Linked DNA regions of Pelodiscus sinensis. The protein of the gene in region 3 interacts with the protein of the main gene of each other region in a pairwise test. Links are inferred from orthologs where the notes say so. Each region holds a gene or a part of one and is shown on either strand. Other genes may lie near its edges.

The links. The genes of interacting proteins can lie anywhere in the genome.
Region 1: the proteins of ZBTB9 (region 3) and PIN4 interact in binary tests that used the Homo sapiens proteins (3 or more experiments, as listed by UniProt). The two-hybrid records come from large-scale screens. The link is inferred for Pelodiscus sinensis from reciprocal best matches to the Homo sapiens genes ZBTB9 and PIN4.
Region 2: the proteins of ZBTB9 (region 3) and EIF4E2 interact in binary tests that used the Homo sapiens proteins (3 or more experiments, as listed by UniProt). The two-hybrid records come from large-scale screens. The link is inferred for Pelodiscus sinensis from reciprocal best matches to the Homo sapiens genes ZBTB9 and EIF4E2.

The regions. Positions count from the first base shown.
Region 1 is NC_134723.1:1,954,640-1,962,432, reverse strand, and holds the start of PIN4 (peptidyl-prolyl cis-trans isomerase NIMA-interacting 4), read right to left. Parts: upstream 3,052-7,793; 5' UTR 2,942-3,051; coding exon 2,902-2,941; intron 1,827-2,901; coding exon 1,753-1,826; intron 1,156-1,752; coding exon 1,036-1,155; intron 1-1,035.
Region 2 is NC_134720.1:49,306,438-49,313,604, reverse strand, and holds the start of EIF4E2 (eukaryotic translation initiation factor 4E type 2), read right to left. Parts: upstream 3,052-7,167; 5' UTR 3,036-3,051; coding exon 2,899-3,035; intron 1,346-2,898; coding exon 1,231-1,345; intron 491-1,230; coding exon 356-490; intron 1-355. UniProt on the Homo sapiens protein: Recognizes and binds the 7-methylguanosine-containing mRNA cap during an early step in the initiation. Acts as a repressor of translation initiation.
Region 3 is NW_027465855.1:143,037-150,759, forward strand, and holds the start of ZBTB9 (zinc finger and BTB domain-containing protein 9), read left to right. Parts: upstream 1-4,689; coding exon 4,690-6,129; 3' UTR 6,130-7,723. UniProt on the Homo sapiens protein: May be involved in transcriptional regulation.

The sequences.
Region 1 (7,793 bases), on a different chromosome or scaffold from region 3:
ATCTTGTTTCCTACTCCTATTCATATTTATTGCCCTTTTCTGTACCTCTTCCATTTCTAAAGATCTTTTCTGAGATAGGGTAACCAGAATTGCATGTAATATTCAAGGTGTAGGCATACCATGGATTTATATAGTGGTACTGTGATATTTACTATCCTAATGGTTAGCTTTTTTGACTGCTATGATATCTGTGTTGATAGACATACTTGCTGACAGGTATTTTGAAATGTACTAAAATATTTGAAACTGGCATGATTATATTGTGTTTAACAACAAAATACGCAGACTTTTACAAAAAATTAAAATATTGTAAGCAGAATTTTAAATGTTCTGGTGCAGAATTCCCCTAGTAGTAAAGACTTAGTGATAGTTTTCTGTCAAGGTGGTGTGGCTATGGACAGTTTCCTGAGAGGATCAGATTAATCATCAGAGGAGTCATAGTACGTTGAGTGCACACTAACACCATCCTCTGTGACAGCACATTTCCATGCAAAACCAGATTGGTGGGGAAGGAGGAGAAATATGGGCCATGCAAAGATTCTTATAATCAGGGAAGGAGGAGGAGCACGAGATCCAGATGACCATTCGAGACTTCACAATGCAACCTCATTTATCTGCCAAGTGCTATGATACCACTGTTTGGAAGGTTTCCCAGAATCCTAGTCTCCTGCTAACACTAGACCTACTGATCAAACTTACTCACCCTCTGAGCCATGTATGATGATCTTCAGAAGTTAAAGATCTGGGTGCATCTGCCAGTGCTTGGGGCTTCAGCCTCCTGCCAGGCTGAAGCCCGGAGTCCCTTCCTGCCTTCAACAGGGCAGAGACCTCTAGTCCTACTACTCTGCCACAGGGCAGAAGCCCGGAGCTCCCCCTGCCCCAGTCTGGAAGATGGAGAATGGTGGTGGAGGGGAAGCCGCACTTTAACTGTGAAAGAGTCACACGTGACTCACGAGCAGTGGTTTGGCCACCCCTGCACTAGACATCAGGCAGTCCATCTAAGAGCCGTCAAGCCTGGCAGCCAGCGATACATACCCCTTGTCTGGCTTTATCTTCACTGTACTGTGAGGCTACTTCACTGAAACGCACTCCAGATTTCAGCTTCTCCATGGCCTCCATGACTCTGCTGTGCTTCTCACACAGAATGTGTCTAACCTAGGATGCAAAAGCAGGAGGAAGTTACATTTTGGGGGCTCAGCTCCCCTCAAAACAGTCATTTTATTGCAGTTTACCAAACAGGCTCCTGTCTGTGTTGCTGCGCCCTGATTGCTGCAGCTCATAGTGTGGTTCTCACCACCACAGGACTGAGTCTGCTGAAAGGCTTCCCACTTCTAGGCCAGGACATTCGGCACAATTGCTGTCCCAACCAGCAGCCAAGGCAGAGCGAGGCAGTCCTCTGTCCAGCCTGCCTCCTGCTGCTACGGCAAGTGGCCTACCAGCTTGGTAGTGGACCAGTGCTACGCAACCCACACCTCTCCCACTGCCCCGTCACACAGGTAGGCTGCACTCAGCAGGTGCCTTTGGCAGGCACCTTTCAGTCACCAGAACCACACTGGCTAATTGGGGGTTGCTGCCTTGTGGGCCAGCATGAACCCCTGACCCTTAGAGCCAAATCCAACCTGGGACCCCAGTGGCTGCCCACGGATGGGTGCCCACAGCTGACCTTGTGCCACCTGTGCACCCCACGTGCTTGGCAGCTGGATGCCAGTGAGATGGGTCTCTAGCCCCGCGATCCCTCTGTGCCTCACTCACCTTCACAGAGCTGCCCCCCCCCTTTGGGGCCGGGGCCTGCTTCTCAGCGCTGCCCCCACCGCCGGCGCCTCCTCCTTGGGAAACAAACCAGACCGTCCTTGCTGGGCTCGGCTCCCGGCGCCACCGCAGTGCGCCAGAGCAGGGCCAGCCCGGCGAGCATACGGGCTGCCCCAGCCTGGGGGAATGGACTGATCACCCCACCAGGGAGCCCCCAGGGCACCCCAATACCCATCCTCCCGCCCCGGGGCACCCCAACCCCCCAGCGCCCATCCCCCCGCCCCGGGGCACCCCAACCCCCAGCGCCCATCCCCCCGCCCCGGGGCACCCCAACTCCCCCGTGCCCATCCCCCCCGCCCCGGGGCACCCCAACTCCCCCGCGCCCATCCCCCTGCCCCGGGGCACCCCAACCCCCCAGCGCCCATCCCCCCCGTCCCGGGGCACCCCAACCCCCCAGCACCCAACCCCCGCCCCGGGGCACCCCAACTCCCCAGCGCCCATCCCCCCACCCCGGGGCACCCCAACTCCCCAGCGCCCATCCCCCCACCCCGGGGCACCCCAACTCCCCAGCGCCCAACCCTCCAGCGCCCATCCCCCCACCCCGGGGCACCCCAACCCTCCAGCGCCCATCCCCCCACCCCGGGGCACCCCAACTCCCCAGCGCCCATCCCCCCGCCCCGGGGCACCCCAACCCCCCAGCGCCCATCCCCCCGCCCCGGGGCACCCCAACCCCCCAGCGCCCATCCCCCGCCCCGGGGCACCCCAACACCCCCCCAGCGCCCATCCCCCCACCCCGGGGCACCCCAACTCCCCAGCGCCCATCCCCCCACCCCGGGGCACCCCAACTCCCCAGCGCCCAACCCCCCGCCCCGCCCCGGGGCACCCCAACCCTCCAGCGCCCATCCCCCCACCCCGGGGCACCCCAACCCTCCAGCGCCCATCCCCCCACCCCGGGGCACCCCAACTCCCCAGCGCCCATCCCCCCGCCCCGGGGCACCCCAACCCCCCAGCGCCCATCCCCCCGCCCCGGGGCACCCCAACCCCCCAGCGCCCATCCCCCGCCCCGGGGCACCCCAACACCCCCCCAGCGCCCATCCCCCCCGCCCCGGGGCACCCCAACTCCCCAGCGCCCATCGCCCCGCCCCCACTCACCCTTCCCCCCCTTGCCGCCGCTCTTCCCCTTCGGGGGCATCCCGGCGCCGCACGCCAGGCCCCGCTGAGGACCCCGGGCCGGGCTGCCCCGCCAAGCGCCTGACGGGCGCGCACCAGCCCCCGCCCCGCCCCCGGCTGCGCGCGCAGAGGCCGGGAGGCTGGGCCGCGGAGCATGGGCCGGTTGGTGACGTTAGCCAATGGGCGGGGCTGCAGAAACCAGCCCCGCCCCCACACGAGCCCCGCCCCCCGAGCCCGCTCTCGGGCCTGGCCGTGGCCCCGCCCCTCCTCCGCGCGCGTGGCCCCGCTGCGGGATCACCGCCCCCTCGCCCCCCCCGCGTGCTGCTGTCAGGACGGGGGGGCCGGGCGGGGGTCTCGGGTGGAATCGCACCGGGCTCCCGCCCCCGCGTGCACCCCGCGCTGGGAGCCAACCCCCCCCCGGCCACACCCCGGGCCTTGGGGCAGGGGGACTGGGACACTCCCGCCCGCAGCCACTCCCAGGAGCGGGGTTGGGGGGGAGGGGGGCAGGCTCGCTGTGGCAGGCCGTGCGGGGGGGCGGGCTGCAGGCTGGGACACGAGTGGGTGCGGGGGGGGAGGGGGGCAGGCTCGCTGTGGCAGGCCGTGCGGGGGGGCGCGCTGCAGGCTGGGACACGAGTGGGTGCGGGGGGGAGGGGGGCAGGCTCGCTGTGGCAGGCCGTGCGGGGGGCGGGCTGCAGGCTGGGACACGAGTGGGTGCGGGGGGGAGGGGGGCAGGCTCGCTGTGGCAGGCCGTGCTGGGGGGCGGGCTGCAGGCTGGGACACGAGTGGGTGCGGGGGGGAGGGGGGCAGGCTCGCTGTGGCAGGCCGTGCGGGGGGCGGGCTGCAGGCTGGGACACGAGTGGGTGCGGGGGGGAGGGGGGCAGGCTCGCTGTGGCAGGCCGTGCGGGGGGGCGGGCTGCAGGCTGGGACACGAGTGGGTGCGGGGGGGAGGGGGGCAGGCTCGCTGTGGCAGGCCGTGCGGGGGGGGCGGGCTGCAGGCTGGGACACGAGTGGGTGCGGGGGGGGAGGGGGGCAGGCTCGCTGTGGCAGGCTGTGCGGGGGGGCGGGCTGCAGGCTGGGACACGAGTGGGTGCCGGGGGGAGGGGGGCAGGCTCGCTGTGGCAGGCCGTGCGGGGGGGCGGGCTGCAGGCTGGGACACGAGTGGGTGCGGGGGGGAGGGGGGCAGGTTCGCTGTGGCAGGCCGTGCGGGGGGACGGGCTGCAGGCTGGGACACGAGTGGGTGCCGGGGGGAGGGGGGCAGGCTCGCTGTGGCAGGCCGTGCGGGGGGCGGGCTGCAGGCTGGGACACGAGTGGGTGCGGGGGGCGGGCACAGCAGCTTTGCAGGCTGGCTGGAGCATGCAGGTGCAGACCAGTCACTGCCCCTGCAGAGGAAGGGCCCAGGAGGCAGACGCTGCTTCAGAGCCCCCCCATGGCTAAAGGCCTCGCGCGTGGCCCAGCAGCCCCCCGCGTGCAGCCATCGGTGCCGTCTGACTCCCGCTTTGCGGACCAGGCTCAGGCCACAGCCAACACGGCGACCTGTGGGCCTGCCTAATAATTAAGGTCTTCAGTGCTTGGCACGTCCCCTGGAGACCCTCCCCCCCCCACTTGCTGCTTCCTTGCCTGCTCCACTCTGCCCAGGGCGTGGACAGCGTGTGGAGGGCGAGGGCTCTGGCTGGTGTGGGGCCAGGGATGAGGGATTTGGGGTGCAGGGGGCTCCAGGCTAGGGCCAAGGGTTTGGAGTGCGGGGTGCTGGAGGGGAGGAACCCAGCTGCAGGATCACTGTGCTCCCAAAGATCCCGTCCCTTCAATGCACCACAGCCCAGCTGCTGCCTGGTGCGCTGTGAAGTGCCACCCCAGGGCTTTGGGTGCAGTGTTCCAGCACCTCCCCCTCGATCCCTTACCCCTGCCCCCCACTGCACTCCCAGAGGCTGCACGGATGTTTTGGGGCTGGCTTGGCAGGCCCTGCAGCCTGGGTGCCCCATGCTCTCTGCCCGGGAGGGGGGGGACAGGGAGCAGGGTGGGACCAAGTGTGTGGGGGGCAGCAGGGACAGGGGGCTCCACCTGGCACCAATTGGACTGCTGGCTGCTGTGCTGGCTGCCTGCAGCGCGCTCTGTCCCCCGGAGAGCACTGGACCTGAGCCCAGCCCGTGGGGGGTGCACAGGAGAGCATGGGAGCTCAGCCCCTGTGGACCCCAGCTTGCAGCTTAGCACCGTTGCAGTGCAGGTGTCTGTGTGGGGGGGACGTACCCAGCTGTGTAGACGTCCCTAAGTGGAGCTGGCCAGGCTGCGAAGTGGGGCTAGTATGGGGTGCACTGGAAAGCGCGGTGAGCTAGCCGAGTGCACCCTAGACCTGCCATCCCACCCCTTGCAGAGCCCTGGCCCGGGGCACCCGATCAGACAGGCCTAGGAACTAACAGTTTTAGTATTTCTACTCTGCCCCTCCCCCCGCCCGGCCCTTGGGGGCAGGCCCAGGCTGCGGAGAAGAACAGCACACGCACAGCAGGTGGGTTGGACAGTTATTGGAGTTTACCAAGCTTGCAAGAGTTAAAAAGTACAACATTCAGAAATATAAAAACCGTCGCTTTCGCCACCTCCAAGGGCTGTACAGGGGCAGGGCTGACATAGCAAAAGAGGCCACTTACGCAGGGAGAGGGGTGTTTGCATAACACACAGAAGTAGTTCACATTCGTTCATCTCGCCCCTGGCTGGCCCACGGAGGACTCGCGAGTCCTGGATCTCGACAGGGCTTGCCTCAGTCTTTGCTGGACAGAACCAGTCCGAGAATTTTGTCTACGTACAGCTGGGCAGCGCAGGAGGAAGCCCCTCCCTAGCGACCCGACTCGTTCCCTGTAGCGCTCCAGGTCGGCACAGGATCTGTTCCAGCTTAGGTGCAGAAGTTGAACTTGGCAAAAGCAAGAGCCGCATTCTCTGTTAAAGCATTAAGAGGGGGACACCCTGGCCTCACTGAAGTCTAGGGCAGACCTCCCCGTGACTTCACGAGAGCCAGGATTTCACCCACGGGTTTTTAAGGCTGGGATTTGGAGATTCAAACTTTTTTTTTAAAGTGATTTTTTGAAAGGGAAGAGAATCAAGGGAAGTTTCTTTTTCAGAAGCAGCTATTTTCCTTAAAAACACTTTGCAAAGTCCCTTTCCCGCAGGAGGTTTACAATCCAAGTGCTAAAAACCACCCCTCTGTCACGCCACACAAAGCCATTGCTAACTGCTGTGGGTAGCATCTTTTTCCTGAGCAATCGTGTGCAATACTGTACATGGTTATTGGCATTTTTCTCGGCCATAAATTCCAGCAGTAGCGTCTCTTTATGCAGCTAAAACATGTTCTTTGTGTATTGAGCATGCAGCTTTTACCCTGCAATATGCAACACTTCCCTAAAGACATGTTGCTTCTACTAAGGCTTAATGTTTCTGGCCTAATGCCACTTGTGGAATAAACATTGGTGGAAACGCTGAGGAATCTATGAAGCTCTTCCTACAACAACTTTGCACAAACTGTTCAAGGGCCGGAACCCAGGCCAGGTTGGTTTTTGCAGCCACGAATCCAGCCACTGGGCCGGAGCAGGAATATCATAGGACCTCAGACTACATTCTAATTGGTCAACAGCATGTTACTGGGGGAAGGGATCATTCATTTGTTCCACAGGCCACGTGAGGGGGCGCTGGCGGCAGAGGGCTATGGGAACACTCCCCCACAGGGAGCCGTTCCAAGAGAAATCGGGGTTGCCGACTCACCTGTGCTCCTAGGCCACACACTGCTTTGGAGGCCCTGTCTGGGCAAAATCAACCTAAAATCGGGGCTTTAACTGTGGGCAGATGGGGGCTCTCGGGGGTGCTGAGCTGCTACCAAAACTCTGCCCAATGCCACAGGTCAGGGCAGCGGACTGGAACTGAAATGGAGAGCAATGGCCCTGGAGGCGCCAACAGGTGCCGTGTGAGCTCTTAGGCACAGATCCGTGGCTGGGCCACATTGAGAGGCTTGGCCCCAGCCAATACAGATGGGGACCAGGTCACTAAGCCAGCAACCCTGGGACGCTGCCTGCTCCATGCCAAGGACCCTGCCTGCATTCCCCACACGGCTGTGCTCACAGCTGGCACGCTGGAGGCAGGTGCGCTCGTTCCTCGGAGCACAGCGACCGGCTCGCCTCGCTTCGGGTGACGTAAGCAACGTTGTGAGTCATGTTCCGTGTCAGACCCACGGGGCACAGAGACGGGAAAGTCCTTCCAGGCCCTGAATGCATCTCCATGCGCATGTGGGATCTGACCTCCAGACAGGGGGCTGTGATGGGAGACAGAGGCTGCCGTGCAGCCGGGAGAATCCCCTGCCTCAGTGGCACCTGATGCCCTGTGGAGACAGCAGCTTGAAGACTCCCGGTGGCAGATGCAGAAGAAACAACAGCGAAGCTCTGAAATTTTTATGATCTATTTTTCCTGAGTTTCTCAGCCTGGATGTTAATTACAGGCTTAAATTCTGCAAATCCATGACAACGAAGGAGTAACGTGTAATTAAAGAGAACAGAACTGGCAGTGTGAAGAGCTGAGCCTCCTTGACAGCCAAAAACCACGCCATCGTGGTGAAAAGGAGCCAGTACCGCTTCCCCTGGGATAAAGGCAGAGGTGTAAACACAAGAGAGCCTGGTGCTTTCCTGGGCGAGGGGGAGCCCCGACCCTCTGCTCACGATCCTGTACAGCAAGCAGAAGGTAACTGGTGAGCCAGGAAACCCCTCTGACACGAAGTCTCCCAGCAGAGCGGGCTTTTCGCTTCATGTTATTCGTGGACTGAGGGCCACCATAAAGCTGTCGCCCCGTTGGCTGCAGAGCGTCCGTGGTACACGCCCCATGGCACATCCGCGCTCTCCCCTGCC
Region 2 (7,167 bases), on a different chromosome or scaffold from region 3:
ACTTCCTCCCTTACACAAGTCAGGCTCAGGACTTGGCAGGTGAGTATCTATTGCCAGACATAAGGAGGAATGGAAATGCTTCTTACATGCCATTACTTTCAAGCTGAGGGAGTTCTGTTTCCACTGCTACCATCAGTGAAGGCCCCACCCCTAGAACAAGGCAGGCAATGCTGCTTCCTGGTCTCTTTTAGGGCTGTCATCTATTGTAGGTGAATCAGAAGCCAACACTATGGCCACAGCAGATGAACTGTTTTCCTTTATGTTTTGTGAAAGGTATATAACCACAGAGAAAAGTCTACTCCCAGAACCTGCCCTATGTTTGGTCACTAAAATGGAACAACTGGAGTGTACTCACCGAGGCAAAAGTGCCAATCTGTTTGATGTTCTGTTCGTAGCTCTGAGAGCTGGTGGGTCTCCCAGGTGTTCGTCTGGAGTACCAGAACGTATAATTATACTGCAGGGGGTGCTCAGCCGGCCCTGGGACAACAGCCTGGGGAACAGAGAAGCTCATTTATCCTCTCACATGTCTCTCCAGGGAAGACTGAACAAGTAACATTCATAGCATTAGAAGCCCACACCATTAGACGCTCCCAATGTAAGATGAACGGTGTACCTCATTTTCCTAGAAAAATCTCATCTCACGTTAATAGCTTGACACAGACCATTAGTTTGACAGCAACTGACTAGATTTCATATCGAATATTAGACAGCCCTAGCACATTTGTTCCCCAATCTGGTAGGACTAGGTGCGCTAACGATGCTGCTGCTTACTCCCAAGAGGAACGTCTCTCAATAGAAAGTCCTCCTGACGATTGAGGAGCATTAACTCTGCATTAAATTCTCTTTAGTCCCTGGCAGCAAAGAAACGCAGACCATTTAAAAAGCCCACAGCTGATGTGGGAAAGTGATGGGAAGCTCCCCCACACCAAGACTTTCCAAAAAGCTGTCTGGGGAAGAGTCCAGCTTTGCTTTCCATCTCCATATGGACCACAATTTGCTATGCAAAGAGTTCTGGCTGCACTAGCAGAGAAAATACTTCAGCTTGGCTCATGTTCAGGTAACTCAAAGTCTATTTAACATGGCTCCCCATCACAATGCTATCACAGCACTAAGCCAGGACAGTATTCCTAGATATACTCCATACACTGAGACACATTGACCACAAGCAGATGCCAGAATTTCAAGCCTAAAATTGTCCCTTGATTATGGCAGGAGATGTCAAGAACTCACCTTCCTCTTGGTGCTACTCTGGGATTTGTCACGATCATTTTTCTCCTTCTCACCATCTTTCTGTGTGCTGTTCTCTTCGTTCTGGTCATGGTCCCCACTATCATCATCTTTCAAACTAACAAAGGCAAGGGACAAAGAATGAGCTTTATGGCTCCTGGCTGAGGTGCCATCCTACAAAATCAGACTTACATTACTTGACCCCTCCTCCAAGACACAAACCACTGGCAGAAAGGAGTCTATGTTGGAAGTCTACTGACGACAGATTCTTACACACGAGAAAGCCTACACGCCCTACACCTGTCTCAGACCACTTGGCCTACAGGCACCCCAAACTTAAGCATCAACTCTTAACAGGGAACTAAGCAAAGATATTTATAACATACACATCACTAAGGGGCCTATTCACCAACTAATACTGACAGCAATCAGCTAAAGAAGGGAAAAGAGGCCAAGTTCCTCAAGTCTCAGAAGGATAGCTGTGTTAATCTGTAAATTTAAAAGCAATGAATAGTGCTGTGGCACTTTAGAGACTAACAAAAATATAAAGACTCATGAGCTTTCATGGGTAAAACCCACTTCATCGCAAGAGCTCATGAGTCTATATATTTTTGTTAGTCTCTAAGGTGCCACAGGACTACCTGAGTTTCTAAAGGTATGTATACACCACAAATTCTACAGTGGCACACCTGCAGCTTTGCTGCATAGATACTTAGAGCCCTGCAAATCTGTGGACACCCACTTTATATCCACAGAGGTGGATGCAAATATCTACAGATCATTTTCGCAGCTGCAGATACAAATTAGGTATCCAGGCCAGGCTCTATAGATACTTACTGCAGCAATAGAAAGTGTTTTTTCCAATCACTGGAATAAATCTACTCCTTCAGGTTAATAAAAGAATTTTTCTGTCAACTTAGTGGTATCTACTCTGGGGATCGGGGCAGCATAACTAGCGATGTAAACTGTGGGTTAACCAGTTAAAGACTACGTCTAGCCGGTTAATCCTGGAGCAGCCCCCTGCCTGCGCCATGACGCTGTGAGTCAGGGGGAGAAGGAGGCCTGCTATGCTGCGCCACAGGCAGCGCTGCTCTGGCTGGACCCCAATTAGCCAGTCAGTAGGTAAGCTTACCAGTCAGGCTGATGCTCACCGGGTAACTGGTTAACCCTTTGCATCCCGAGCCTTCACTACAGCTCTCCAGGAGGTGACTTTTCCAGCCCCCGGGGCTGCCCTGCGCCTGGGCCCGCAGGGCGTGAGCGAGTCGAACCCCAAGGCGGATCTTGCACGGAACCGGCCTCCCAACGCTCCCGAGACCGGCACCGGGGCAAAGACCGGAGCGAGCCTCCGACCCGACACGCGCCTGGCGCGGGCTGCTGGCCCCGTCCCAGAGCGGGGGGGAGGGGGGTGACAGAGTCACGTGGGGCCTGGGGAAAGGCTCGTGGGGGGGCTGGGAACGGGCCTTGCCCGGGGGGGGGTCACTCGAGACAAGGCCCAGCAGCGCCCCGAGCCGCCTGCCCGCCGCTCCCGGACCCGCTCCCCGGCCAGAGGGAGCCGGGGCCCCCCCGCGCGTCCCGGTGACTCATCGCGTCTCGGGGCCCCCGGGGGGGGGACCGCGGCGCCGGGCCGGTCAGTCGGGCCGCAGCTCGGGGGGGGGGGGGCCTCAGACTCACGCGTCGAATTTGTTGTTCATCCTCGCTCGCCGCCTCCGCCCGTCTCTCCGGGGAACTTCCGCTCCGCGCCAGCCACCTTCCGCCACTTCCGGGCACGGAACCTGGCAGCGCGGCCGCGGGTTTCCGCCCGGCGCCATGGACGCGCGGGCCGTTCTCGCGAGACCACGCAGGGCGTCACAGCCACGGGTGGCCGGGCCGCCATCTTGAGCGTGGCGCGGTGGGCGGGGTTAGCCCGCGTGAAGGGCTCGTGCCCCGCGGGGTTCAGCCCCCAGGCACGTGGCGTCGCAGCGCCCATCTCCCACCCGCCACGTGACCCCGGGGCGCCTCAGTCCCATCAGCCCCCTCCCCGCCTCCCCCTCCTGGCCAGCCCCTTCCATCCCCCCCCCCCATGGCCAGCATCTTCCATCCCCCCCCCCCATGGCCAGCATCTTCCATCCCCCCCATGGCCAGCAACCCCCCCCATGGCCAGCATCTTCCATCCCCCCCCCATGGCCAGCATCTTCCATCCCCCCCATGGCCAGCAACCCCCCCCATGGCCAGCATCTTCCATCCCCCCCATGGCCAGCAACCCCCCCCCCATGGCCAGCATCTTCCATCCCCCCCATGGCCAGCAACCCCCCCCCCCATGGCCAGCATCTTCCATCCCCCCCATGGCCAGCATCTTCCATCCCCCCCATGGCCAGCAACCCCCCCCATGGCCAGCATCTTCCATCCCCCCCATGGCCAGCAACCCCCCCCCCCATGGCCAGCATCTTCCATCCCCCCCATGGCCAGCATCTTCCATCCCCCCCATGGCCAGCAACCCCCCCCATGGCCAGCATCTTCCATCCCCCCCATGGCCAGCAACCCCCCCCCCCCATGGCCAGCAACCCCCCTCCCCATGGCCAGCATCTTCCATCCCCCCCATGGCCAGCAACCCCCCCCCCATGGCCAGCATCTTCCATCCCCCCCATGGCCAGCATCTTCCATCCCCCCCATGGCCAGCAACCCCCCCCCATGGCCAGCATCTTCCATCCCCCCCATGGCCAGCAACCCCCCCCCCATGGCCAGCATCTTCCATCCCCCCCCATGGCCAGCAACCCCCCCCCATGGCCAGCATCTTCCATCCCCCCCATGGCCAGCAACCCCCCCCCATGGCCAGCATCTTCCATCCCCCCCCATGGCCAGCAACCCCCCCCCATGGCCAGCATCTTCTACCCCCCCCATGGCCAGCAACCCCCCCCCCATGGCCAGCATCTTCCATCCCCCCCCATGGCCAGCAACCCCCCCCCATGGCCAGCATCTTCCATCCCCCCCATGGCCAGCAACCCCCCCATGGCCAGCATCTTCCATCCCCCCCCCATGGCCAGCAACCCCCCCCCCATGGCCAGCATCTTCCATCCCCCCCATGGCCAGCAACCCCCCCCCCCATGGCCAGCATCTTTCATCCCCCCCATGGCCAGCAACCCCCCCCCATGGCCAGCAAACCCCCCCCCCATGGCCAGCATCTTCTATCCCCCCCACCCCCATGGCCACCATCTTCCATCCCCCACCAACGCCCATGGCAAGCATCTGCTCCCCCCAACCAGTAGGATGTATTCCTGTAGGTTTCCTCGAATAGCATCGTGTTAAGATTAATCAGTCTCCGAGGGGCAGGCGAGTTAGTCTGTCATTTTAACAACAGCGAGTGGTCCTGAGGCACCTGAGCGACTAACCAAAATAGATATCTATCATGAGCTTTCGTGCACACAACCCATTTCATCAGATGAAATGGTCTTGAAGAAGAGGGTTTTGCCCAAAAACGCTCATGATACTCTTTATATTTTTGTGAGTCTCTGAGGTGCCACAGGACGACTCATATTTAAAAGTTGTTTTTAAAGGTTAATCACTAATTCCTAGAGATGCCAGGACAATCCTAGAGTGTTGGCAACCCTGCCTGTATGTGTCCCCTAGTACCTCTCTCACACAGCACTGGCTGACACCGCTCCCCCGCCATCCACACACCCCTGTCTCCCACAACCCTGTGGGCAGGACCTGTCAGTAGAATGCTAACAAACACCTTAATCTACTTCCACACCCTTGTGTCTGGCCCTGATACAAAGTGGCAGGACTTTTACCATCTGTAGAGGGTGAAGGGTCCCTGACAGACCACTGTGTTTCATGTTTGGTCCAGGGGTAGCTGGGGCTTCGCGGAGCCAGGGTTATGGGCCTGGTTCACCATAGCCCCAACACCTGGCCATTCTGCAGTTCCTGGCAGGGGAAAAAAACAGAAAATACCGGATATTTTTAGGTGTCCGGTATTTTCTGAATTTTTTTCTTTACCAGACAGGAGGTGAAAATACCAGACACCTGGCAACCCTATTTCCCCCGCATTTCTTCAGCTATGCCCACCCCATCTGTGGGGCTGCAGGGAGCCCTTCTTGGGTTGGCTAAAACGCCCATTTACCAAACCAGGAGCAGGAAGTGCAGCTCGGAGGGTCTTTGCTACTGGGGCATGCATCGCGGTTCCTTACTGCTATGCAGGTGGTCTCTCCTGACTCCTTCGCGCAGCAGTGGGTGCTCTCCAGGGTTCTCTGCTCAGGATCCCTGTTTGCTTCCCCTATTTTGAATCTTTGACTTTCACTTCTGTCCTCTCCGACCCGCATCTGTTCTCTTTTCAGGCCCTGAGGTCCTCCCCAGATTGAGAAGCAATTAATTTGTTCTAGCTATAATTAGGCTCCCTGTTTTAGGATGCAAATCAGCCTATATTACCTGGCTGCAGTATGGGCCCCTGGGCAGTTGGACTAGTGTAGCTGCACCTGGCTCATGTTCTCTTCCTGCCCTTGAGGGCTGGCATTGAAAAAGACAGACCTAAATGTTCAAAGACCTGAAGCAGGCACTCCGACCACATGGTGCTGCCCTACATGCCTGTTCACTTCTAATCTCTCTTCCCCCTCTCAGCCCTGGAAGCCCTTCTTGGAAGTTGGGTTCAACACCAGAAAATATCAGATCACTTATTGAGGGGCTTAAATTTCTGCTCCTGGGGAGCAAATGCCTGCTGCCTTCAGGCTGACACTGGCCCCACGTCAGGCTTCTATATGGTTACAATATTTGCTAGCATAACAACTCAGGCCAGAACAAAAGACAGGACTATGCAGCACTTTAAAGACTAACAAGGTGGTTTATTAGGTGATGAGCTTTTGTGGGCACCTAAAACACCATCTTGTTAGTCTTAAAGTGCTGCATAGTTCTTTCTCTTGTTTCAGCATGATCAGACTAACACGGCTACATCTCTATTACAACTCAGGCCAGAAACACTTAAGCATGATTTTCTCAACCTCTTCACTTGAATTATCCAACAGCCAGATGAACTCTGCTAGATAATAAAGATTATCTTTGTTTTTCTTTCCAAATTCCATTTTATTTAATGGGTGTGTAATCTAATGAGTCAAGAAAATATATTTTTTTAAAATCTTATTTTTAATGAACAACCATGGCCATTAGATGGCGACATTGGCTTGCAATTACACTGACTATTATAACTGCCTATCTGGAGTAATGTGCAGTTCAGAGATGTTCCATTCACCAGCAGAAATTGGTCCAATCAAATATTTTACCTTACCCACCTTGTCTCTCTGAGAAGCCTTTTAAGAGCAGCCCTGGGTTTGGGGTAGCTCTGATGAAATTAGGGTTGTGTGAAACACTAATTTGGTTTGGTTTGGTGGCAGATCTGGGAGGAAAAATAATCAGGAACAGAATTTTGTCTCAGGGTAAGCTGAAATGAAAATGTGGAATTTTTGACAAGCTGCAATGTCTAAAAAAAGTTTTGTTTCACATCGCCCAAAATGAATTTTTTTTTTATTTCAATTTTCAGGCCTATTTTAAATTAAAAAAAATAAAATAAAATGGAGGGCATTGCCAAAGCAAAACACCTTTCCAAAACAAAAAGTCAACACATTTTTTTTTAAATGCTGAACAAACTCTTTTGACCTCCAGATTTTGTTTTAATTCTGACAAAAACAATGAGCTGTTCTAGACCCAGATCTGCAATTTGTGTTCATCCGCCCAAATCTTCAGTTTGCAATGGAAAAAGATTTTGTAATGGGAATGATTTTGCCCAGCAGGGGTGGATGAGAGTTTTGCGGGGCCCACAGCATGGGACCTATTGAAGCACGGGACCCAAGGCAGCACAATTTTGCCAACAGGTAGTAACGCATGCACGGGGCCTATTGAAGCGCAGGGCCCAGGGCAGCCGTACCGCTCGCCCTGCCTTATATCCGCAGCTGTTGCCCAGCTCTCCTTGTGCTGTCT
Region 3 (7,723 bases):
AGATGACAATCTTACACCCCTCCTCCCATGCACCTTCTCTCCCCTCCCAGGGGGAGCAGGTCTGACTTCCTCTCTCCTGTGCCATGGACCTCCGCCTCCCCTTGAAGGAAATGGGGACAATACCTCTTCCCCCTCCCTATTTCTCAGGAGTGGTCTCGCCCTGGCAGCCATTTTATTGCATTGTCCCTCCTTGCCTGGGGGGCAGGGAAACCCCTCCAGCCTGCCCACGGGGGCAGCTGAAGGGCTCATTTTGGTTGGTTGGCCGCATTCCTGGAGGTTTCGTCACATGACATAATCTTTAATACCCGGAGACTCCAGGACAAGCCTGGAGGGTTGGAAACTCAAGGGGCAGCAGAGACTGGTGGCAGCTGGAGGCAAAGCTCTCCCCATTTTGCTGTAGGGGGGGGCTCTGTGCCTGGCAGGAGGGATTCTCAGGGGGCGAGGGCTCATAGCTCTTTGTTCCAGTATTTCTCTCTTCCCTCCAGCATGGGATTTGGGTCAGGGTCGAAGACTTGTGGAATAGCAAGTACTAGCCCTGCCCCACCCATCACATACCATCCTCGCTCCCCACAGCCCTGCCCTGGCCGAGGGAAAGACCACCCCTTCTGTCCTTCCTGGCTAGGCTCAGGCCTAAGGTTTGCCATGGCCTCTGCCAGTCCTGCCTGGTGTCAGCATTGGGGATCTCTCCCCATCTCTCAGCTGGTCCCAGTGGTGGGATCCCACCTTCCTCTCCCACTGCTCTCTGCGCTCTCTATACTCTCATAAAGGGCTTTGCCTGCTCAGCCCCATCCCCGTGTCCTGCACCCCCCCTCTGTCTTTGGAAATGATGATTATCTAGACATTGATTGGTTTTTTTCTGGGGAGGGCAATGAGGGAGGGGCCTTTTCTTTCTTTCTTTCTTTCTTTCCTTCTCCCTGTTCTCAGACCCCCTGTCCCCCCAGGCTGGGGTTGTTGGGGGGGAAACAACCAACAAAATAATGAAGAAGCCATTTCTCTGCCCACCCGCCAGCGCGTGCAGGGCACCGGGGCGGGGGAGCGACCCCCCCCACCTGAGCACGGAGAACTGGAGGGGACTCTTGTGGCTATTCACCGTTGTGCTATGGTCTGAGCTGCTGGGTGAATGTGGTCAGCGCAGTGATTGTACTGGGTGTTTCTTTGCTGTTTGTGTCTCTATTTCAGACTCGCCATTAACCAGCCCTCCCTTGCCCCCTCCTGCACCTCAGTCCGTATTTCTTTTGTAAGGACTCTCCCTGTCCTCCCCCACCCCCAGACAGCGGCGACTCGGGTGGCGCCATGATATTTATACGTATTAATTATTATTATTATATAAAAGTTTGTACATATGTGAAATTTCCTCTACCCTTCCCTACCTCCCCTGGCCACATCGCCCCCAGGCTGGGCGCTGTAATTACCACTGGATTTGTACTGTATATAGACCTCTCTGGACCTCATTCTCTGTACATATCCCCTTGGGAAGGGAGTTCAGGTCACGAGCGCCCGCCCTGACGCTGTGTCGGACCACCTGGGCGTCTCGCTCTCCGTTTTATTTTATGTCGATTTTATTTTTTCTCATTTTTCTGGAGTGTGTGGTGCCAACGGAGAAACGTTTAATAAACAGCGATTGTTCTTTTATGCCACCTTGGCCTGAAGCCCCAGGGCATGGCCCGTGGGGGCCAGGGAGGCTCCTGCGTGGGGCCACAGGGCACCGTGTGTGGGGGTTCTGCGTGGGGCCCAGGAGGCTCCTGTGTGGGGCGCAGGGTAGTGTGTGTGGGGGTCCCACGTGGGGCCCAGGGCACAGCCCGTGGGGGCGGGAAGGCTCCTGCATGGGGCCACAGGGCACCGTGTGTGGGGGTCCCATGTGGGGCCCTGGAGGCTCCTGCGAGGGGCCACAAGACATCGTGTGTGGAGGTCCCATGTGGGGCCACAGGGCACCATGTGTGGGGGTCCTGTGTGGGGCCCTGGAGGCTTCTGTGGGGCGCAGGGCAGCGTGTGGGAGGGTTCCGCGTGGGGCCCAGGGCACGGCCCGTGGGGGCGGGGAGGCTCCTGCGTGGGGGTCCCGCGTGGGGCCCAGGGCACGGCCCGTGGGGGCGGGGAGGCTCCTGCGTGGGGGTCCCGCGTGGGGCCCAGGGCACGGCCCGTGGGGGCGGGGAGGCTCCTGCGTGGGGGTCCCGCGTGGGGCCCAGGGCACGGCCCGTGGGGGCGGGGAGGCTCCTGCGTGGGGGTCCCGCGTGGGGCCCAGGGCACGGCCCGTCGGGGCGGGGAGGCTCCTGCGTGGGGGTCCCGCGTGGGGCCCAGGGCACGGCCCGTGGGGGCGGGGAGGCTCCTGCGTGGGGGTCCCGCGTGGGGCCCAGGGCACGGCCCGTCGGGGCGGGGAGGCTCCTGCGTGGGGCCACAGGGCACCGTGTGTGGGGGTCCCGTGTGGGGCCCTGGAGGCTTCTGTGGGGCGCAGGGCAGCGTGTGGGAGGGTCCCGCGTGGGGCCCAGGGCACGGCCCGTCGGGGCGGGAAGGCTCCTGCGTGGGGCCACAGGGCACTGTGTGTGGGGGTCCCGTGTGGGGCCCTGGAGGCTTCTGTGGGGCGCAGGGCAGCGTGTGGGAGGGTTCCGCGTGGGGCCCAGGGCACGGCCCGTCGGGGCGGGGAGGCTCCTGCGTGGGGGTCCCGCGTGGGGCCCAGGGCACGGCCCGTCGGGGCGGGGAGGCTCCTGCGTGGGGGTCCCGCGTGGGGCCCAGGGCACGGCCCGTGCGGGCGGGGAGGCTCCTGCGTGGGGGTTCCGCGTGGGGCCCAGGGCACGGCCCGTGGGGGCGGGGAGGCTCCTGCGTGGGGGTCCCGCGTGGGGCCCAGGGCACGGCCCGTCGGGGCGGGGAGGCTCCTGCGTGGGGGTCCCGCGTGGGGCCCAGGGCACGGCCCGTGGGGGCGGGGAGGCTCCTGCGTGGGGGTTCCGCGTGGGGCCCAGGGCACGGCCCGTGGGGGCGGGGAGGCTCCTGCGTGGGGGTTCCGCGTGGGGCCCAGGGCACGGCCCGTGGGGGCGGGGAGGCTCCTGCGTGGGGGTCCCGCGTGGGGCGCCCGGCAAGTGGCGGGGACGCGGGGGGGCGGGGTTGGGTCGCAACGTCGCCCAGCCCTGCCAGTCAAGCACAGGACGCTCCCGTGGCCAATTGGAATGCGAAACGGAAGGGGGCGGGAAGACAGATCTGTCCACCAATCGGACGCGGGCTGCGGGGCGCTGTCCTCGGATTGGCTGACTGGAGATCAGGCGCCCCGGCTCCCAGGGGGTTGTGCTAGCCGGCGTGGGCGTGTCCCGGGGGCTGAGCGCTGGTTGGCCCGCCTGTGGGACAGGCTCGGGGCGGCGCGTGGCCACGGTCCCGCCAGCGATTGGCTACGTGCTGCAGGGCGGGGGCAGCGGTCGCTTTTGGTTGGTTGATGGCCCCCCGGTGGCGTGTCCTTCCCTGGTTGCCCGGGGGACCAGGGGCAGAGGGCGGGGTTTCCTGGGCTCCATTTCGGTCGGCCCGGGCGGAGGGGGCGGGGTTTCCCGGGGCTCGAGCTCGCTGAGCCCGGGCCGCTGGGACTCGCCCTGCTGCGCGCGGCCCGCAGGTGAGCCCTGGATCCGGCCCGCGCGCGGGGGATGGGCGGGGCGCTGTGGGGCAGGACAGGGCGGGTTGCTGGGGATGGGCGGGGCACTGGGGGGCAGGGCAGGGGGCGCTGTGGATGGGCGGGGCGCTGTGGGGCAGGGCAGGGGGCACTGGGGATGGGCGGGGGCGCTGTGGGGCAGGGCAGGGGGTGCTGGGGATGGGCGGGGCACTGGGGGACAGGGCAGGGGGCACTGGGGATGGGCGGGGCACTGGGGGACAGGGTAGGGGGCACTGGGGATGGGCGGGGCACTGGGGGACAGGGTAGGGGGCACTGGGGATGGGCGGGGTGCTGTGGGGCAGGGCGGGGGCGCTGTGGGGTAGGGGGTGCTGTGGATGGGCGGGGTGCTGTGGGGCGGGGTGCTGTGGATGGGCGGGGGCGCTGTGGGGCAGGGCAGGGGGCGCTGGGGATGGGCGGGGTGCTGTGGGGCAGGACAGGGCGGATTGCTGGGGATGGGCGGGGCGCTGCGGGGCAGGGCAGGGGGCACTGCGGGGATGGGCGAGTTGCTGGGGATGGGCGGGGCACTGGGGGACAGGGCAGGGGGCACTGGGGATGGGTGGGGGCGCTGGGGATGGGCGGGGCACTGGGGGGGCAGGGGGCACTGGGGATGGGCGGGGCACTGGGGGACAGGGCAGGGGGTACTGGGGATGGGCGGGGCGCTGTAGGGCAGGGCCGGGAAGGGGGCACTGGGGCTGGGCTGGGTGGGGGCAGAGGTGGGAGCAGTTTCCAAGAGGTGCTGCCATGGGGTAGCTGCTGTATGCTGGGGGGTACAGGTTCCTACTTCCAGGAGCCTGGGCTGTGAAGTCCCTCATTCTCCCTCTGTCCAAATCCCTGGGATCCCTGGCGGGGGTGGGAGGGCTGTAGTCCTGGGAACACAACTTCTACACCAGTCTCCCCTCCAGTGGGGCTGGCCCTGCACCTGCCTCGCTGTTGTGGGAATGGGAGTTCTCTTACCACAAGGGGTAGTGAACATTTCCCTCTCTCCCAGGGGCAGCAGCATCGCAGGGGGGGTTCCCTTTACTCCCTGTCTCTGCCATTGCAGGTGCCCGCCCTGGGCAGGCGGTGCCATGGAGCCCGAGACCCGCAGCATCCAGATCGAGTTCCCCCATTACGCGGCTGTGCTGCTGGAATCTCTCAACAAGCACCGCTTGGAGGGCAAGTTCTGCGACATTTCCATCCACGTGCAGGGCCGGGTCTTCCAGGCTCACAAGAGTGTCCTGGCCGCCTCCTCGCCCTACTTCCATGACAAGCTACTCCTCAATGACACCAACTGCATCGTGCTGCCCAGCGTCATCGAGCCTGACGCCTTCGAGAACTTACTGCAGCTCATCTACTCCGGCCGCCTCAAGCTCCTGATGGAAGCGCTGCCCAGCCACCTGCTGGTGGCTAGTGGACTGCAGATGTGGCAGGTGGTGGACCAGTGCTCGGAGATCCTGAAGGAGCTGGAGGGGGGCCCCTGCCGGCCCTGGTCCAGCAGGGCAAGTGAGAACCAGTCCCCCAGTAGCAGCAATTATTTTGCTGTGAAGGATGATGGAGAGCCGGTGGGTGGAAGCTCAGAGGGGCCTGGCCATGGCGGGGTATCGTCAGGCCGGGCAGCACCCGGCTGCCCTGACAATGAGGTGATGAAGATCCGGGTGTCCCAGGAGGAGGAAGAGGAGGAGGAGGAGGAGGAGGAGGAGCACGAGCACCAGGCCCGGATTTTTAGTGGCTCTGTGGACAAGGCAGTGAAGATTGTCCTGGAGGAAGATGGAGAGGTTGGTGGCAGAGGCGGCTCCAAAGGGCCATCTTCTGGGGAGCTGGACGGCCCCTTTCATGCCCCCCGCGATCACCCCAAGATCTTCTACATCAAACAGGAGCGCTTTGACCCAGATGAGGCTGCAGGGGCTGCGCTGGGAGGAGGCCTGAGTGCAGCCGGGGAGGCCAGCTTTCTCAAGTCATTGGCACAGGAGCGGGCATTGGCCATGGCTGAGGTGCGGGGTCTGTGCCAAGCAGACTTCCAGCCAAGCAGTGAAGTCAGCTACATAATCCCTGCTGCAACCACAGGTGCCGCCTCCTCCATCCCCACCCCTGGCTTCACCATTAAGGCCCAGCCCCTCTCCTCAGATGAGGCCAGCTTCCCCCAGAGCTCCTGGAAGCCAGTGGACCTACATGGCAACGAGATCATTGCCCACGCGGTACATGGCCAGGTGGTGCACGCACCTGTCAAAATTGTGGCAGCCCCTGATGGGAAGAAGTTTGGTTGTCTGTGCGGCAAGCGCTTTGCTGTCAAGCCCAAGCGAGACCGGCACATCATGCTGACCTTCAGCCTGCGCCCCTTCGGCTGCTCTGTCTGCAACAAGAAGTTCAAGCTGAAGCACCATCTGACAGAGCACATGAAGACCCATGATGGGAACCTGTACTCCTGCGAGGACTGTGGGCGCAAGTTCCGTGTGCAGAACTGCTTCCTCAAACACAAGGAATTGTGCAAAGGCCAGGGCTGGGCCACTGCTTGCTGGACCTACAAATAAACCTTGGATGGGGGCTGCAGGGAGGACTCCTACCACCCTTCTTGAGGCTGGTTTGAGCCCCTGAGCAGCTCAGAACCCTGCTCCATGGCCCGGTGGACACCAAAGTATGAAGGGCAGCTGGGCAGGCCAAGGGATTTGGGCTCTTGTGCTGCTCCATGGTGTGGCATTTGTTACAGACCTTGCCCTGGTGTAAGGTGGAGGAACTTGGGGCAGGAGGCAGGAGCATGGGGCTGATGGGAACCTCAAGGAAAGGGATTAAATCTGCCCTGCTGTGGGCACTTTGGGCCAGCGACAATAGGGCAGGTGAGAGAGGAGCGCTGGTGCAGCAGATTGCTTAATCGCAGACCCTGATGGCAGCAGTGGCAGGTTGGGCCTGTGAAAACCACAGTCCCGAGCTGCCCTCCTGGGAGTCTGACTTCTGGGCAATGTCCCAGCCAAGGCTGAGTCCCTCATGCCTGCTCCAGCGGCGGGTGGTGGGGGGCGACCTGCCCTTTTCTGGGAGCACTCCTCTGGAACCTGGTCTCTGACACTTTGAGGCCATGTGCCCAACCTGGGGTATTCCAACCCCCTGCCACAGGAGACTCAATAAAAGAGATCTGTGCCTCCCCCCGCCCCCAGCCTTGGACTCATCCTCTGCAGCCTCCTGCATCCCTCCCTGGCAGGACAGTGACTGGCCTTGTCAAAGTCAGGCTGGCTTTTCAACAGTGCTCTCAAAATGATTGAGAGGCACAAACCAGAGCTCACCGCTGAATCCAGTACTGTGGTGGGGGCATGGGCAGGATAGGGGAAAGCTTCAAGGAGATGATGTGGCCAGCTCAGCTGAATGGGATGGAACTAGGTCTGGAAGGGAGGCTTTTGTCTTTGTGGCTCCCACTACCTCCCTACTCTCCCTCAAACAAGGCCCAGCGTGAGCTCCCCTTTATGCTGGAGCAGCTGAGCCATTCCACTGTGCTGGGCTGCAGGTCCCAGGCCTGGGGCCCAAGATTCTGCAGTGAGCCCCAGCATCTGGCCAGCTTGGGTTGGGACCTGGCTCATCCTTTTGGGCAGTGACTGGTGGGAGGGTGCTTTGAGCTGGAGTGAATGGGTCTCTGTGCTGGCTGGAGCACAAAGCAGGGAGCAGTGTGCCATGTTCTGTAGAGCCAAAGTCCCTGAGTAGTTCACACCAAGACTCATGTGGGGGTGGGCTTGCCAGCCTCTCTGCAGTCTCCTTAGCCTGCTTTCTGGCTTCAGCAGCCTCTGCCTTTCTTGGCCCTGTCATGGGGGTATCTCTTAGTGCCTTTGTTTTATTTGACCTCTTTTTTCCTATCAGTTCCCTGCTGTAGTTCATGCCCCTTCCCACAAGGCATCATGAGCTGGGGGTGGGGGTGTGTGTGTGTGTGTGTGTGTGTGTGTGTGTGTGATGTTGAGTCAAACAGGGCAAGCCAGGCCATTGTTTATAACTATAGGCACCTCCCTATAGGCATCTGCTATTGGAGCAGCCTGGGTGGGTCAGAACATGTTTCTGATTGGCCAGTGCCAGATACTTCAGAGGGAATGAACAGAATAAACAACTTAAGGGCCATCCCCAGCCAGTCAGAGACTAGGGCATACCCCT